2 linked regions of the Tamandua tetradactyla genome follow. The main gene of each other region encodes a partner of the protein of the gene in region 2 in a complex. Links are inferred from orthologs where the notes say so. Each region holds a gene or a part of one and is shown on either strand. Other genes may lie near its edges.

Region 1 (7,247 bases), on a different chromosome or scaffold from region 2:
TCAAACAAGGGGACAGGAAAGGATACAAAACAAAAAGATATGAGATGATGGAGTTCTTCTCCATCAACCAATGAATTTTATCTCACACAAAGGACACCAAAGATGATAAATAATGTATCAGTGTTTCTTTTTGCTTCCTTGTGGTTACATTTTCAAATTTACTTTATTGAGCATCTTTGCTCTAGTTGTTTGATATAGTAATTTTTAAAAGTCTTCTATTAAGGAAAATTTCAAATGGATACAAATTTAGAGGGACCAGTACTATAAACCCACATGAATCCATCATCCAGCTTCAACAATTACCAGCTGAAGGCCATCTTGTTTCATCTATAACCCCACCCACCAGCCTCCCCCCATTTTTTCCTAAGCTCACGGAATAGTTGACTTTTTTATATTATGGAAAATTCCAAAAACATACCAAAGTAGAATAATATAAAGAATCCCAAAGGCTCATCACTCAGCTTAAACTATTAATTCAGGGCAAATCTGTTTCATCTATACCCCTGCCCACTTCCTTCTGCTTAGATTATGTTGAAGCAAATCCTAGTCATCAACATAAAGGCATATTATTTAATCTACAACTATTTTAGTATATATCTGTATAGATATAAATAATTTAAAAAACATAACCACATTCCCATTACAACGCCTAAAATATCGCTATCAATTTCTTAAAAAAGCCATCAAATATTGGATCCGTGTTCAATTTCTCCCTATGTATCTATTACAGTTGGGGTGTTCGAATCAGGATTCAAACAAGGTCTACTCATTGCATGTGGTTGATTTCCAGCTTTCGTTCTCCGTCTCTTTTTAACTTTTCAATATGGAAAATCTCCACCTCCACTATTGTAAAGCAGATCTCAGGTAGCATATTATTTTAATGGTAGAGATGATATGTTTCTTATGATCTACTAATTCATCAGAAGAAGTTGATGGGCAGGTAAGGCAGTATAATAAGCAAATCTGCATAATTTATGCTCTATTTTCTCATTCTATTACGTGGGAATTTAATCTCCATAATAATGGCTAATATCCTTAGGAGCCAGGCTTCGTATTAAGTGCCTTATATGTACTATTATATTTAACCCTCAATACACATCTCCGAGGTAGATACGATTATTATCACCATTTTACAAACATGGAAACCTAGACACAGAAAGAACATGATCTTTGCCCAAGCTGGGCGTTGGCGAGTAGGGATTTAAACCCAACGCTATATGATTGTAAAGCCATTAGGTAATCCTATCTATATACATGAAAATAAAGGGAAATAATCGACCCTTCTTCCCCACCCCCACCCCGAAACCTGAAACGCGAATCCAGCTCTTCCCAGCAGCCGACGTGTGATCACCGCCGTTCCTCCAACCGCCATACTAAAGCCAGGTTTCTCTGGCAACTGATATCCATAGGCAGACACGTCACCCTGGAGGCGGGCTTACATCCTTCAGCCAATCAAATTCGTCTTTTCTAAGTTTTAGAATGTTCTATAACCAAACGATTGGACGAAGACCACCACGTCAGCAATGACACTTCGCCGCAGTAAAGGGGGGTGCTAGCAACCGCTTCTTCACGGTTAAGGTCTGAAGGAAACCAATCATCTTTCTCGTTTAGTGCGCGCTGCAGCCAATCATGCCCGCCCTCTTAGGTTCTTAGCCCACCTTCCAAAAAGGCGACAGCCGTTGGGTCATAAGTCTATAGGACAGGATGTTCACGTGGCCTATTTTCACAACCCAGAGTTCCCCCGATCAGAAGGTTGCTTTTTTTTTTTCCTGCAGGGAAGGATTATGGGTTCCTCCCACCCCCCACTGGGAAAGGAAGTGTCTACGTGGCCTGCGGAAACGGATGGGCGGAAATGAGCTAAGGTTCCTGCAGGTGGGGAAGCAGTTGGTCCAGTTTGGGGCCACGCCCCCGAACCTCTTGCGCAACGATCTGAGCAAAAAGAAAAAAAAGGCCGCTGGAGTTTTTTTATGTGCGTGTGAGTGAGGATGGTGGGTGTCGCGGGCGCGTGACGTTGGGGTCGGTGGGTGTACGCGGACTAACTCGCGTGGCCTTGCGTTGGGCTGTGTGTGTGCGCAGACGCTCATGGCGCTGGCAGATAAGCGTGCGCCCTAAGCACTGGGGCCGGCTTCTGTTTTTGGACGAGTGTGCGCGCGCGTTTGTGTGCGAGCACGCGCGTCTGTCCCTAAACAAGCGATGTGTGTGTGTTTCTTATAGGTGAGCTGTTCTTTTATACTGTTGAATTAGATGGGCGTGTGGGTGCTTATTATATAAGCATTATTATAGTATCATTATTATATACCATTATTATAGTGGTCATTCTCTACTGTGGTATATGTTTGAAAATTATTGTAATGAAAAAGGAAATAACCAATTAAGTCAAGCAGCGAAACAGAAAAAAGGGCCTTTGTTATATATATCAGTATTTCGGTATGCCCCATCAATTCAATTTTAGACTCTAATACACTTTCTTCACACGTTTTTCTCAGTATCAAAATCCTGTTCTAAACTATAGCCCTCCAATGGTTAAAAGGCAAACCTTCATTGGTATACAGTTTCGGTTTGGGGAGATGGCAAAGTTTTGGTAACAGATCGTGGTGAATGTGATTAGCAACACTAAATCATTTATTTGAATGTTGTGAAAGGGGAAATTTAAGGTTGTATATACGTTACCAGGAAAAAAAAAAAAACGCCAAACCTTTCCATTCCCAAATTAGCAATTCTAAGGGGGCAGCTTCTTTCATTTATCCAGTATCCTTTACTCTTGTTCCCGCCCCGCCCAGAAAGTTACGTGCCATTCTGTTGGCACAAATACAATTTTCTGTGGGGAATAACTACATACGACAGCCTGCCCTTCCACTATGGACTCTGAATTTCTGTGGGGGCTGAGGTTCTCTTACCTTTTTGTCGATCTCCAACAACAGTGCTGTTCAGGCGAGTTCACGTTCAGTTAATTTTCCAGAAAGTTCTCTGGATGAGGTTTATACATTTAGATGCTGCCACTAGATGCCGCCAAATCCCAGCAAAGGATTGGCTGTTTTGAGCCCTGGAATTATGGGATTTCCACCTCCTCTGCCCCCACCCCCATGCCCCCCACCCGCAACCTCGGTGGGATTTGTTGAACTCGTCAATCTATGGTGATGGTATATAGTTTTCATTTCTAGGGAACAATTAAAATTAAGTCAACCTTTATTGGCTCAAGATTCACATGCTTTTCCTTGTTTCCTTTTTTTACCGTCCCTTTTTAATTTTTCCCCCTCCATCCCTCTCTTTTATTCCTTTCCTTCTTTTGTCAGAGTTTATAAATGACCTCAGGCACTGGTGTTGATGAACAACCTATCCCTTTCTCTTCACCTTTTCCCCCACATTCTCACAACTCCCGCCCTCCAAAGGAAAAATACAGATGGCTGTTTAGTCAGTAAAGATAGATAACAACTCTGAGATAAAACTTGGACTTTGGTATTGAACACTGATCTTCCTTTCCTCTTGAAAAATTTTTCAGATTTATGTGTTATGTGTTTGTACCCCATTTTTAGTAGTGCTGCTGCTAAAATGTATTGTGTCTTTCGAATTAGAGATCTAGCTTTGAAACCTATTTCATGACTTATTAGCCCTGTGACACTGGACAAACAATGTATGTTCCATGATCCTCACTTTTTGTATGCTTTCTAAGGTTTAGATTCTATGTTCAAATGGATAGTCTCATTTATTCCTCATAAAATCCTTATTAGGTGGTGCTACAAAAAACAATCAAACAAGAAAATCATACCTCTTCAGCTATCAATCATATAAACATACATATATATGTGTGTGTGTATATATACCCACATACACATATATACGTGTATTTGTTTATGTAAAAGGGGAAGGTTAAAACACTGGTTCTCAAAGTGTTTTCTGGACCAGCAGTGTCAGCATCTCCTGAGAAGTTGTTAAAATTCAGATTCATGGGCCCTGCCTCAAACCTACTGAATGAAAAATTATTGGATTGGGATTTGGCAGTGTGTGCTATTACAAGCTGTGTTCTGATGCACACTAAAGTTTGAGAACCACTGCTTTAGAGGGCAGAAATGCAATGCTTATTTTTGTTTGTACCACTAGAGGGTGGTATGGAATATAAAGCAAAATAATAAGTGATGTCAATGTATTGTTAGGGCCCCCTGCATACTATCAATACCATTTTACAGATTAGGAACTAATGTGTAGAGATGTCAAATTATTTTCCCAAGTACACATGACAAGTATGGGAACCAGAATTTGAATTCTACCTGCCTCACAAGCTCAAGCCCTTAACAGTACTCTGTTTGACCGTTTGTAGCTTGGCTTTCTGGGCCTTGAAATGTGTTACAGATACCTTGTTCCTGCTTTGGCTTACTAGAGGGTCAAGAAGAGGGCAGGAACTCAAACAAGGTAAATGGAAATGTTTTGATGATTTTAACTCTCCCTCTCTTCTTCATTTTACAATAGGAAATCACACAAAAGTTTGAGTGTTTCTCTTCTTGTTGTTATAGTTCTCAAAATACTCTTCCTACCCTGTAGCTAGCTTTTTTTAGTTTAGATCTGTGTTGCAGATGATGAAAGTGAGTTAGAGACCGTAAGTATTTTTCTTATGGTCATACAATTTGTAAATAGTGAAATCCAGATAATCACAGGTATATGTGACCCTGCTACTCCGCTAAACTTTCTACTCCCAGGTTTTGAATCTGGTTTTGTTACTTAATATTTAAGTGACCTTCAACAAATTCTTTCATTTTTCTGAGCCTCAGTTTCACCATATGTTACAGGAGAACAAATATTCCTGCATATAATCTTGTAGCTCGACTATCCACTATGGTAGCCACTAGCCACAGGTGGCTATTTAAAAGACATAAAATTTAAAACTCAGTTCCTTAATTGCATTAGCTGCATTTCAAGGGCTTTATAGCTACTTATGTCCAGCTACTGGTGATAGTGTTAGTGTAGATACAGAATATTACCCTCATCACAGAAAATTCTACTGGGCAGCGTTGAGTTAGAGGCCTAGTATGGCACATGTCTCATGATAGGTACCCAAGAAAAATGATTTCCTCTGCTCTTTCCTCTCAGAGTCAGTGCTTGGGGTGTTCTGTGTTATTGGTGGGTCAGAAGAGAGGAGTAACTTACCCAAGGTACTGTGTCAGGGATGTGTCTCACACTGAGACTCACATCTCCTGACTCTATTCCAGTATTCTGTCTAGCAGACCTATCCTTATGCTTTACTCTGCTTACTGAAGTTGCAAGCCCAAGAGTGGGAATAATGTTAATGAACTTTGGAGTCAGGGTGATAGCAGGAACTGAATACCTCCTAAAGTGCCAAGCTCTTTATCTTTGTTATCTTCATGAATCCTCACTGTAGCCCAGAGAACTTAAATACTTACCCAAAGTTGCTCAGCTAGTAAATGGCAGAGTGAGGATTCAGATTTCTAACTCCAAGACCCATGCTTGTCCCATTAAGTCATGCTACCCTCTCAAATATGAATACTCTCCTGCCTCCTTTACTTACTAGTGGGGCAGAGCTTCAGCAGATTCCTGACTCTTATCAGGTCCCCAGAAAATGTTAGTCTTCCTTTTGAATTTATACCTGATTTGCTGTCTTTATTATCTGTTGCAACTGAAAGGGAAAAGATAGCTTTGATCAGTGTTTGTTTGGCTCCAGTGCCCAAGGCCAGACAGATTATGGTCTCAGCCTTCACAGGGCTTCTAGAAACTGCAAGAATCCTGTGTTTATCATCAAGGTCTCCATTAGCTCATACAGTACCTTTGTGCTAATTAGAAACGTGCCACCTGGGAACAAATTTCAGAAAAGTGTCCACTCCAGTGGAATAATTAGAAAAAAATGTTTCTCTCTCTCTCTGAGATGTTACAGCCTCCATCAGGGTAGTTAAAGCATGAATTTCAGCCCCCACTTCTGCCCTCTCAGTTGGGCACCCTTGTTCAAGGTGCAACCTACCCAACAGTGTCTGCTGGCATTGCTTGTCTTGTCTAGTGGCTAAGAGATCCTTACTAGATTTGAAAAGTAGTGGTCTGTCTGCTCTGAGGGGCTGGGAAGGACACCCTGTGGTTTCTGGGTAGGAATGGAAATTGGTCCATTCTAAGGGTAATTTGATTTTTGTTTTCATTTGGTTTTGTCTGATTTATGGAATGATTTTTAAAAGAATATTTGCTTAACATATGTGCTAAAAGGAAAACCTAATATTCAAGGCTAAGTAAAATGCTATATCTTTAATAAGGATATTTTTCTGTTTATCTGTTTATACCTGCCTCATTCCAAAGAGATTTCATGAAACCAATTCAGCAAATTAGTCTGGATCCATCTAGTTCATTAGCCTTTGACAGCCAGAGCAGAAGATGAAGTTAGACATTGGAAAGCTTTATCATTTTAGGGGTTTTATTCTCTTCTAGCTACTCTCTCCTGTAGATGAAATCCCCCCCCCCGTTCTTTTGGCAAAAAGAGGTTACTTCAAATGGAAGAAAACACTAAGATCTCTACTTGAACCTAATCATTGTTGTTCTTGGGTGGCCTTGGGATTCCAGACTTACACATTAATCTCTTGGTTTTCCCTTCCTGAGTCACAAAACCTAAGTTTGTGGTTTTGAGAACCACAGGCTTCACTTGGAATAATTGTTTGAAATCATCCATGTTGTGCATAACTAGCAGAGATGAGAACTAATTCCCACCAGTGAGTGCTGACTCCTACAATATGTGCATTGCCTCATGAGGATTCCTGGAACCATTTTGTCAGTGATACATTTGTTTATGCTTATAACTTTCACCTACAGTCCCCATTCCACTGTGAATGATAAAAGGTATGTGTTTTGAAAAGATCAGCTGTCATATTATTAAAAGAGAACAAACTACTGCTACTTAAAGTACTGCCTCTAAATTGTTGAAGCTTAATGATGGGAACATGATAGCTCATTATACCATTCTTTCTACCTCTGTGTATTTTTGTAGCTTAGTATTTTTGAAGGTTACCAAATTAAATTTTTTTTAAAGGGCTTGATCTGTTCTATGGAAGAGAACATATAGGTTTCTCTTTAGGGGAGTCCTTCCTAACCATAGGGTGGGTAGAACACACACTTCTCTGGTAGTGATATATCACATGAAAATCTGGAGAGGTAGATTATTTTAGATTGAAAAAGTCTCTTTCTCAGAAATTTTGGTAAGTTCTCCTAGAAGGAGAATCTCTTCCCTCCTGCAGCCCCCCTCTACCAGACCCCTCGGAGGGTCT
Region 2 (7,493 bases):
TATTTATTCTTATTGTCATTTCAAAACCTTTTCCATTAGTCCAAGTAGTGTCAACAACACAAGTGGGGTCTATAGAGTTTTTGAATTGTACAGCTTTGGGGTCAAAAGATAATGCTAACAAATTGGTCATATATGCTCAAACACAATCACTTATTGAAAGTACTACTGGATAATCATGCTTTTTAATAAGAAAAAGTGATTTTAAAAATCTTAACCTCCTGTTATACGCCATAAGCATCTTATCATCTTTTATCAGAATTTAAAGTAGTAGACACAATCATTTATCCACTTACTGCACTATATGATTTATTCTACACCTGCTTTTCTCAAAATGTGCCCCAGTAATAATCTCATTCGACATTTGTTAAAAAAGGAAAAATAAATAAATAAAAGGGAGTCAGGCTCATGTAAGTTGAATATATCCTTTTTATTATATACTTTTTGGAGATTTTCAGTGCATAACAGCTTTTTAAACATCCTGAGGTCCTACAATTTTTTTTTTTAATTTCCCTTTGTTTAAATAAGCATTTTCTAAATTTATTCAACTCAAGTGCCTCTTTTGTTAATTCATAACAACTGTAACTTCAGAAAACTCTATTGTAAAAAATACAAGTTTAAAAGAACTATAATTTGAATAATACTAAGTCCAAATTATAAGAGAATTTTAAATTTGTAAGAACCAAAAATTATAAAATGATGGCTACCCTTTTGTCTATCTCTTATCAGATACTATACTTTGCAATTTATTTTAAATATTTTTAATCTTCAGGTCACTCCTATTTTACAGATGATGAAAAACCCTCAGAAATGGTAATAATGGTCAAGGTCAGTGAGGAAGTTTATGAAGCCTTGAAATTAACTCAGAACTGTATGAAGTCAAAATGTGTGCTGAATCCTAAAGAAAACAATAACAAATCCTTGGTACTTCAACTATATTAAAGATGAAATGAATTTTGTGAGTAAACTGGAAAACTAACATGCAATTCACACTTTCACAGTACAATCCACTGAATAAAAAGAGAACGTGGCTTTCCTCCCCTGTTGGTTTTCTAAGATGTCCTTAATTAAACTAATGAGGCTGAGAAATTATATTCACAAACAGTGAAACAGTGGGTATGGAAGTGCGTATGTGTGGTGATAGGGCAGAAAAGTGGGGTGTGTGTGTGGGGGGGCGGGTAATGAATCTTCTTAGCTACCCAAGACCCCACACTCTTGGATGGCTGGTGCTCTGATTTCTTTACATGATACTACTTTTGTCTCTACCTCAAAGTTCAAGTCTTTCTCCACCCCTACTTTTACAAGAAGAAAACATGGCAGCACCAGAAACATTTTTTGTACAACCTGAAGATCAACAAACATAACTTCTGGGCCCATTTTACATGATGACCAGCTATAAATATTATTTAAATGATTTAATTAAGGTACTCCTTAATTAAACACTTCTCCAAACAAAGGAAGTGACATATAGCCAACAAGGTTCTATTGATCACACATTTTAATTATGCATTATATAATTTTCACATTTTTAATTAATTAATGTTAACATAGTATCTCTAGGAGATAACTGAAACAGTTATCACATATTTATCTTCCAATTATGAAAGGTTTGTGAGGTTCTTTCAGAGCATGATGGACATAAATGTGATACCCAGCACTATGTTCTTGTTTTGAAATATAATTCTGTGCTGAGTATTTATCTTCTTAGCTACCTTTTTCGAATCATGGACCCTTTCAAGAAACTTCCCATATAAATAAAATACAACTTAAAAATTGCAGTGTATTCCAGAACACCCTGAAGTCCCTTTTCAAACTCTCTAGTCCCTGAGTCTCCTAACTATAACCTCTGCTCTTGAAACAGTAAGGTAATTTTGGAAAAAAGTCACCCAACTCCCTAGCTATCACTGAAAATGTCTTTGGGTCACAAGCAAAAACCCGCCAACTACCAAAATGTTATTAAAGCAGACACGATGCTTTACAATAAATTCTTATTTCCTCAGTCAATATGAGGCTGTTGACAATAGAAAATGTATCTCATAATTCGTAATACTTCCAAATTTGGCATTTCCAGTTCACCAGGGTTTCTAAAGACCTACATACTACATGTCCTTTGTGCTTTCCACTCGATAATTTTAAATCGAATTAAGTCTAACAGAAATACAGATGTTGAAATCTAAGTTCCACAATAGAAAAGCTCAAGTTAAAATCTTCTAAATATGTATGCTGATGTAAATTCCATTAAAATATATATTTACAGTCTCAAAGAAATGAAGGTTTAGGAACTTTTTTTGCATAGTCCCAAATTCGAAAAAGGCATATACACCTTCCCTCATGCACCCTCTTGTAAAAGCTACGGAAAAGGTGCGTGGGATGGAACGGTAAGATTTCTCATTGTCCTTTATTTTTGATAACTCCTTATGCACTACCAGAGTGAGGCGTAGGACGGTCAAATATCAGGAGCCACTAGCGGCGACAGCAGGCATGTCCGGCACTGAACGCGTGTAACCAACAAGAGCAAACACCACGACTTACTCTGCACCTGCAGGTCCATCTCGCGCATCTCCGTGAAGCGGTCCCGCAGGTCCATTGGAAGCTGCTCAATCACTGTCAAAGAGAAGAGTCCGTCAGAGGGGCGGGGCCAACGAGGAAACACGCGCTTACGTCAGTGCGTGCGTGCGTGCGTCGGGGGGGGTCGAGGGAGCCGGCAGCCCACTGCGAGGCTGCCAGTTACCGTGAGAAAGAAACATCCCCCGCCTCCCCCTCCCTCCCGCCATCCCGCCTGCCCGTCCACTCGCGCTCTCACCCGCCCGCAGCTCCCACAGGCAGCCCCGCCAGCGCCGCGCACTCACTCTCCAGATAGTCCTCTAGGTACAACATCGCGGCCCTTAGAGCTGGGGAAACGAGTGGGTCCAAGGGTTTATTTGTGTCACTCGTTGTCGCCGGAGTTTTGTCCCTTTCAATATGGCGCCTCCGCTAGCAGCACCCGCTCGGCTCCAGGAAAAAAAAAAAAAAAAAAAACACACTTTGGCGCCTGACGGCGCTGGCCTCACTGCCGCCCGGAGCTGTCATTGGTTGGTTCAAGCAATGACGTTATCCGACCGGTACCCGCCCCCATGCCTTTGTGGGAAGTATAGTTTTTTTCCCTTCGGAGGAATAATTGACACGCGGGCAATTCTACAGGTGGAAACTACAAAAACCAGGCGCCATTGCGCACTGTGCGCAACAGAATCTGAAATGCGGTTCTTCTGTTTATTTGTTGATTTTTGCGCTGGGAATGACGGGAGTTGTATGCTCCTGCACAACATAACTAGGGATAACTTTTCACCTGTTCGTTACTGCTATGATTTCATGTCCCGGCGTTTATGAGTCATGAATTTCAAGTAGTGTTAAGGCCAATAGCGGAGGTTCTAATCCTAGAATAACCAGAAAAGTGCGAGCAATTTCGATTGTTTAAAACAGAACTCTGCTGGAATTAAATCGTAGTGTTAACTTCTAGAAATATAAATAGGACACCTGGGTGGCTTCTATGTCTATTCTATGAGAATATGGAATGGAATATGCATTTCCTGGCTAAAAGATACACAAGTACCCAGAAGCCTCTTATAATTAAATATTCTGTTTTGCGGGTTGTTTCGTCCTCGTTCTGACGTAATTGATCATCTGTACATTTACCTGCAGCCACACCTAACAGCATAAAAGCAGTCAGAAATAACTGCTGGAGCCTTACTATCTAATGGACTGTGGTAACAATCACTTTAGATTGTGATTATATTGGACATTTGTTGTCCTGGGCGTTGCCTTTTTCTACCCTTTGACTCCTTTCCCCAAATGTTCATAAGTGATAATATTCAGTTATTCATTGCTCATTTTCTTCCTCTTTTTAAAAATTCTAGCACTCAAATGTTAGGTATTATTGTTTTCTACCTATTTCTTTAACTCTGTCGGGAAATTATCTTTAGTTCATAATCTAATGTTCTATTTTATTTTTTTCAGATTGGAGTTAAAAGTCTCTCTGTGTGTGTGTACATTGTACTATTGTACTCAAAATTTATCACATCTTTTGATCAGGATACTTCTCTATGGTAGTGCTGAATCTTAAAGGAACTTTACCTAAATCCTAATAAGAATTATCTGTCATCTCTACTTGTATTAAAATTTGGTATCTTCAGTTTTCTTTTTTTTTTTTCTGACTGTTTTTAAGACCTTCTGTATGTCTTTAATATTTTTGCAGTTTGATAATGATTACCCTTGGTTCGGATTTTTTTCTTTTCTTCTTCTTTCCCTTTATTCCTCCCTCCCTCCCATCCATCCTTTCTTTCTATATTCCTTTCTTCCCTCTCTCCTTCCCATCTTTCTTCCCTCCCTCCCTTTCTTTCTTACATTTTTAGTTTTATTTGTTAATCATGCTTGAGATTTGAAGGGATTCCTGAATCTTAAGATTGTTGTCCTGCAACAAGTCTAGAAAGTTCTCAGCTGCTATCGCCTTAATGTTGTTTATCTCCCGTGTTCTCCATTATCTCCTAGAACTTCAATTATATATCTATAAGACTTTTTTAGTATCCTCCCTTTCTCCTAACCTTTCTTTCAAATACTCCATCTCAAAACTTTCACCTACTTTTCCATGTGAGAAATTCTATTTGATTCTCTTATCAATCTATTTTCTTCTTTCCTTATACAGATTAAAAATAATTAGTCTATGTTCTGTGTCTTTTAAATTCAGTGCTGAAAATATTATGGGTCTTCTTGTGTTATCGTTTCTTCTGGCTTTTGCTTATGGTAACTTTTTTTTTTTTATCAGTTCTTAATTTGAAGTCTAAACTCATGTTTCTTGGGTTGTAAAAATAATGATTCCTTGAGGGCAGAGTCAAAGATAGGTTTTCCTAGAAAATATTAGAATTTCTGTACATTTTTTTTTGAAGGCGCTATCAACCCTAGGGCCAGATAAAACTCAGTACTTGATGTATATTCTATTGCACAGATAGATTGAATGTGGATTTGACATGTTACAGATTCTCAGGGAATACTTCTCTTCCTTTACTGAGTCCCAGAGTCAGGATAGGCATGTTTCCTTAGTGACTGCTTCTAAGCATCAGATTTATTTCTCACTCACACTTACACTGGGAGTGTAGGCCTTTAGAGCCCCAGATTTTGTCTCCCATTAGAGTTCACCGTTTGTACAGGACTTTGGCTTTATCTCTTGACCACACATGCTGCACAGCTATCAAAGCAGGAGCCCTAGGTGTCCACAATTTGACAGATACTCTCTGAGCATAAGACTGCTTTGGCCCTCACTTTTCTCTCAGCATATTCTCATTTTCCTTTCTCTTTTTTCCCCCTTTAGATCCCCTCTGAGATTGCTTTCATTTCCTACCAGTTCATCAGTATGTTTGATTTTTTTTTTTAAACCTAACATTGTTAGTTGTTTTCAGCAGGAGGGTGGGGTTCGTTCAGAGTAGCTAAAATGGCATGCTCTCAGAAATAGAAGACTCATTTCCGTGAAAAACTAATTCTTCAGGGAGTTTTCCATATTGAAAATGAAATAATAAATTTCAGTTATTTGAAGTCAGTCTTCTGAATTTTCAATTCTAACTTCTCAATTCGGTCAGCATACCTGCACACACCAGAGAAACCAAAAATAGTAAAATTTACACTCTATATATTTTAGTTAATGAACTTAATTCTTGAAATAGGAACATTTGTCAGCAGCAGAAAATTGTGGTAGCTTCTTATATCATTAGATAATATAGTATATAATACTTGGAGTGGTTACCAACTTACAGCCTTTACTATGTTTCTAGGAAGTACCACATACACAGGAATGGTTACCAGTGACCATATTATATCTTATTAGTTTACCTGGGATAGGCTAAAGCTGAGCCTAGGAGATACACCCTTCTGGGGTTTGAAATTGGGGCTGAAGAGGCGCAGAGACATTGTGGCAGAAACGCACTAATTGCAGCGCCGTAGATACATGGTCCTTCTGCTGAGATCCCCAGAGCTGCTCTTGTGTTTTTTCCCTGAATTTTCACCCACTTCTTTAGAGTTTGGAGTTTGTTACTAGCAATGAAAAGAATGTTAACTACAGATCTGCATGTCATAGTAAAAAAAAAAATTATGGAATTTTAGTCATTAATCATTTAGCCTATTTTCATTATACATTATGAACTCCAGAACTGTGGGTTTTTAAAAATTATTTTTATGCTGTGACTCAGCAGCTGTCTTTTCTCCCCCAACTTTATGGTTGACCAATTTTTAAGCATATTTGAGAAACAGGCAGGATAGTTGCAGGGTTTGAATACAGGCAGTGTTAAACTGCACGAGTTCACTTCCCTATTCTAACACTGGTTGTTGATCTTGAAAAGGTTATTTTAACTCTCCATGCCATCGTTTCTCAACTGGGTAATGGAAATAGCAATGGTAGCTAAATCTTAGGAGTGTAAGTTTGAAACGATATAATCTATGCAAAGTACTTAGTTTAATGCAGGGTGCATATTATAATTCAACGAATGCCAGTTGCTATCATTATCTTTATTAATATTATGAGGTCCCCTCCTATGTTTACACATATTGCAGCAGCTCTTTTGTGCCTCAGCATATTTTGAGGCTGGACAACATTTAGAACTTCAGGCTTGTCAAACAAACCTCTTGCTATGATTCTGCTGCGGCCATACTAAATTCAAGGGAAAAGTGATGCAGAGAAGGTTTTAAGAGTAACAAATTACACTGATGATTATAGCTAATTAGAAAAAATTAGAACATGGAGAAAAGATTCAAGACTGGATGCAAAATATGACTGTCCTAGAGAAACAGAAACATGATTCTTCATATAGGATTCCCTCAGAGGGACCCAGACTTAATAACTTGAGGCTCTGCTACTTCCTGATTTTACAAAAAAAGCCACCATCTTGAAATCTTCCTAGTAAAGCTTTGAAATGAAATGTTTTCTTACCTTTGCACCAGACAGTGTGTCCTCCCTGACAGACATCTGTACTTTTGAAAGGAAGCAGAATAAAGTGTTGTTTTAGTAAAAGCCGTTGCCACTCACTAGATCAATTGTAAGCAACAAGGTTGGATAATAGCCTTCAGTAAGTGACTACAGATGTTTCCAAGACTTCTCCTTCCAATGGCCAACTAAAAAGACTTGGCAATGCAATTCCTCCCCTAAAGGAAGATTCTGTTTTCCTGACCTGATTTGTGGGTGTTTTTGATGGAGAACCTGGAAAATGAGGAGAAAGAGAAAGAAGATAAGTGACTAATGAAGGAGAGTTAGGAGTGTATTACTCTTCTGTCTGCTAAAACAAATACCATACAATGGATTGGCTTAAACAGAGGGAATTTATTGGCTCATGGATTTGAGGCTAGTTTTCTCCCCCAGACTGTGACATTCTATGGCTGGTTGCTGGCAATTCTTTTCTGTCACATGGTAGTATGCATGTCAACATCTTCTTTCTCTTTTGGGTTTCATTAACTTCCAGCTTCTGGCTGCACATTGTAGC

Evidence for each region.
Region 1: ING3 (region 2) and MORF4L2 share a complex: the UniProt entries of both Homo sapiens proteins name them as parts of the nuA4 histone acetyltransferase complex. The link is inferred for Tamandua tetradactyla from reciprocal best matches to the Homo sapiens genes ING3 and MORF4L2.

The regions. Positions count from the first base shown.
Region 1 is NC_135353.1:70,023,636-70,030,882, forward strand, and holds the start of MORF4L2 (mortality factor 4-like protein 2), read right to left. Parts: upstream 3,009-7,247; 5' UTR 2,898-3,008; intron 1,970-2,897; exon of another isoform or gene 1,674-1,969; intron 1,485-1,673; exon of another isoform or gene 1,307-1,484; intron 1-1,306. UniProt on the Homo sapiens protein: Component of the NuA4 histone acetyltransferase complex which is involved in transcriptional activation of select genes principally by acetylation of nucleosomal histone H4 and H2A.
Region 2 is NC_135327.1:161,384,394-161,391,886, reverse strand, and holds the start of ING3 (inhibitor of growth protein 3), read right to left. Parts: upstream 3,025-7,493; 5' UTR 2,875-3,024; coding exon 2,847-2,874; exon of another isoform or gene 2,801-2,846; intron 2,602-2,800; coding exon 2,530-2,601; intron 1-2,529. UniProt on the Homo sapiens protein: Component of the NuA4 histone acetyltransferase (HAT) complex which is involved in transcriptional activation of select genes principally by acetylation of nucleosomal histones H4 and H2A.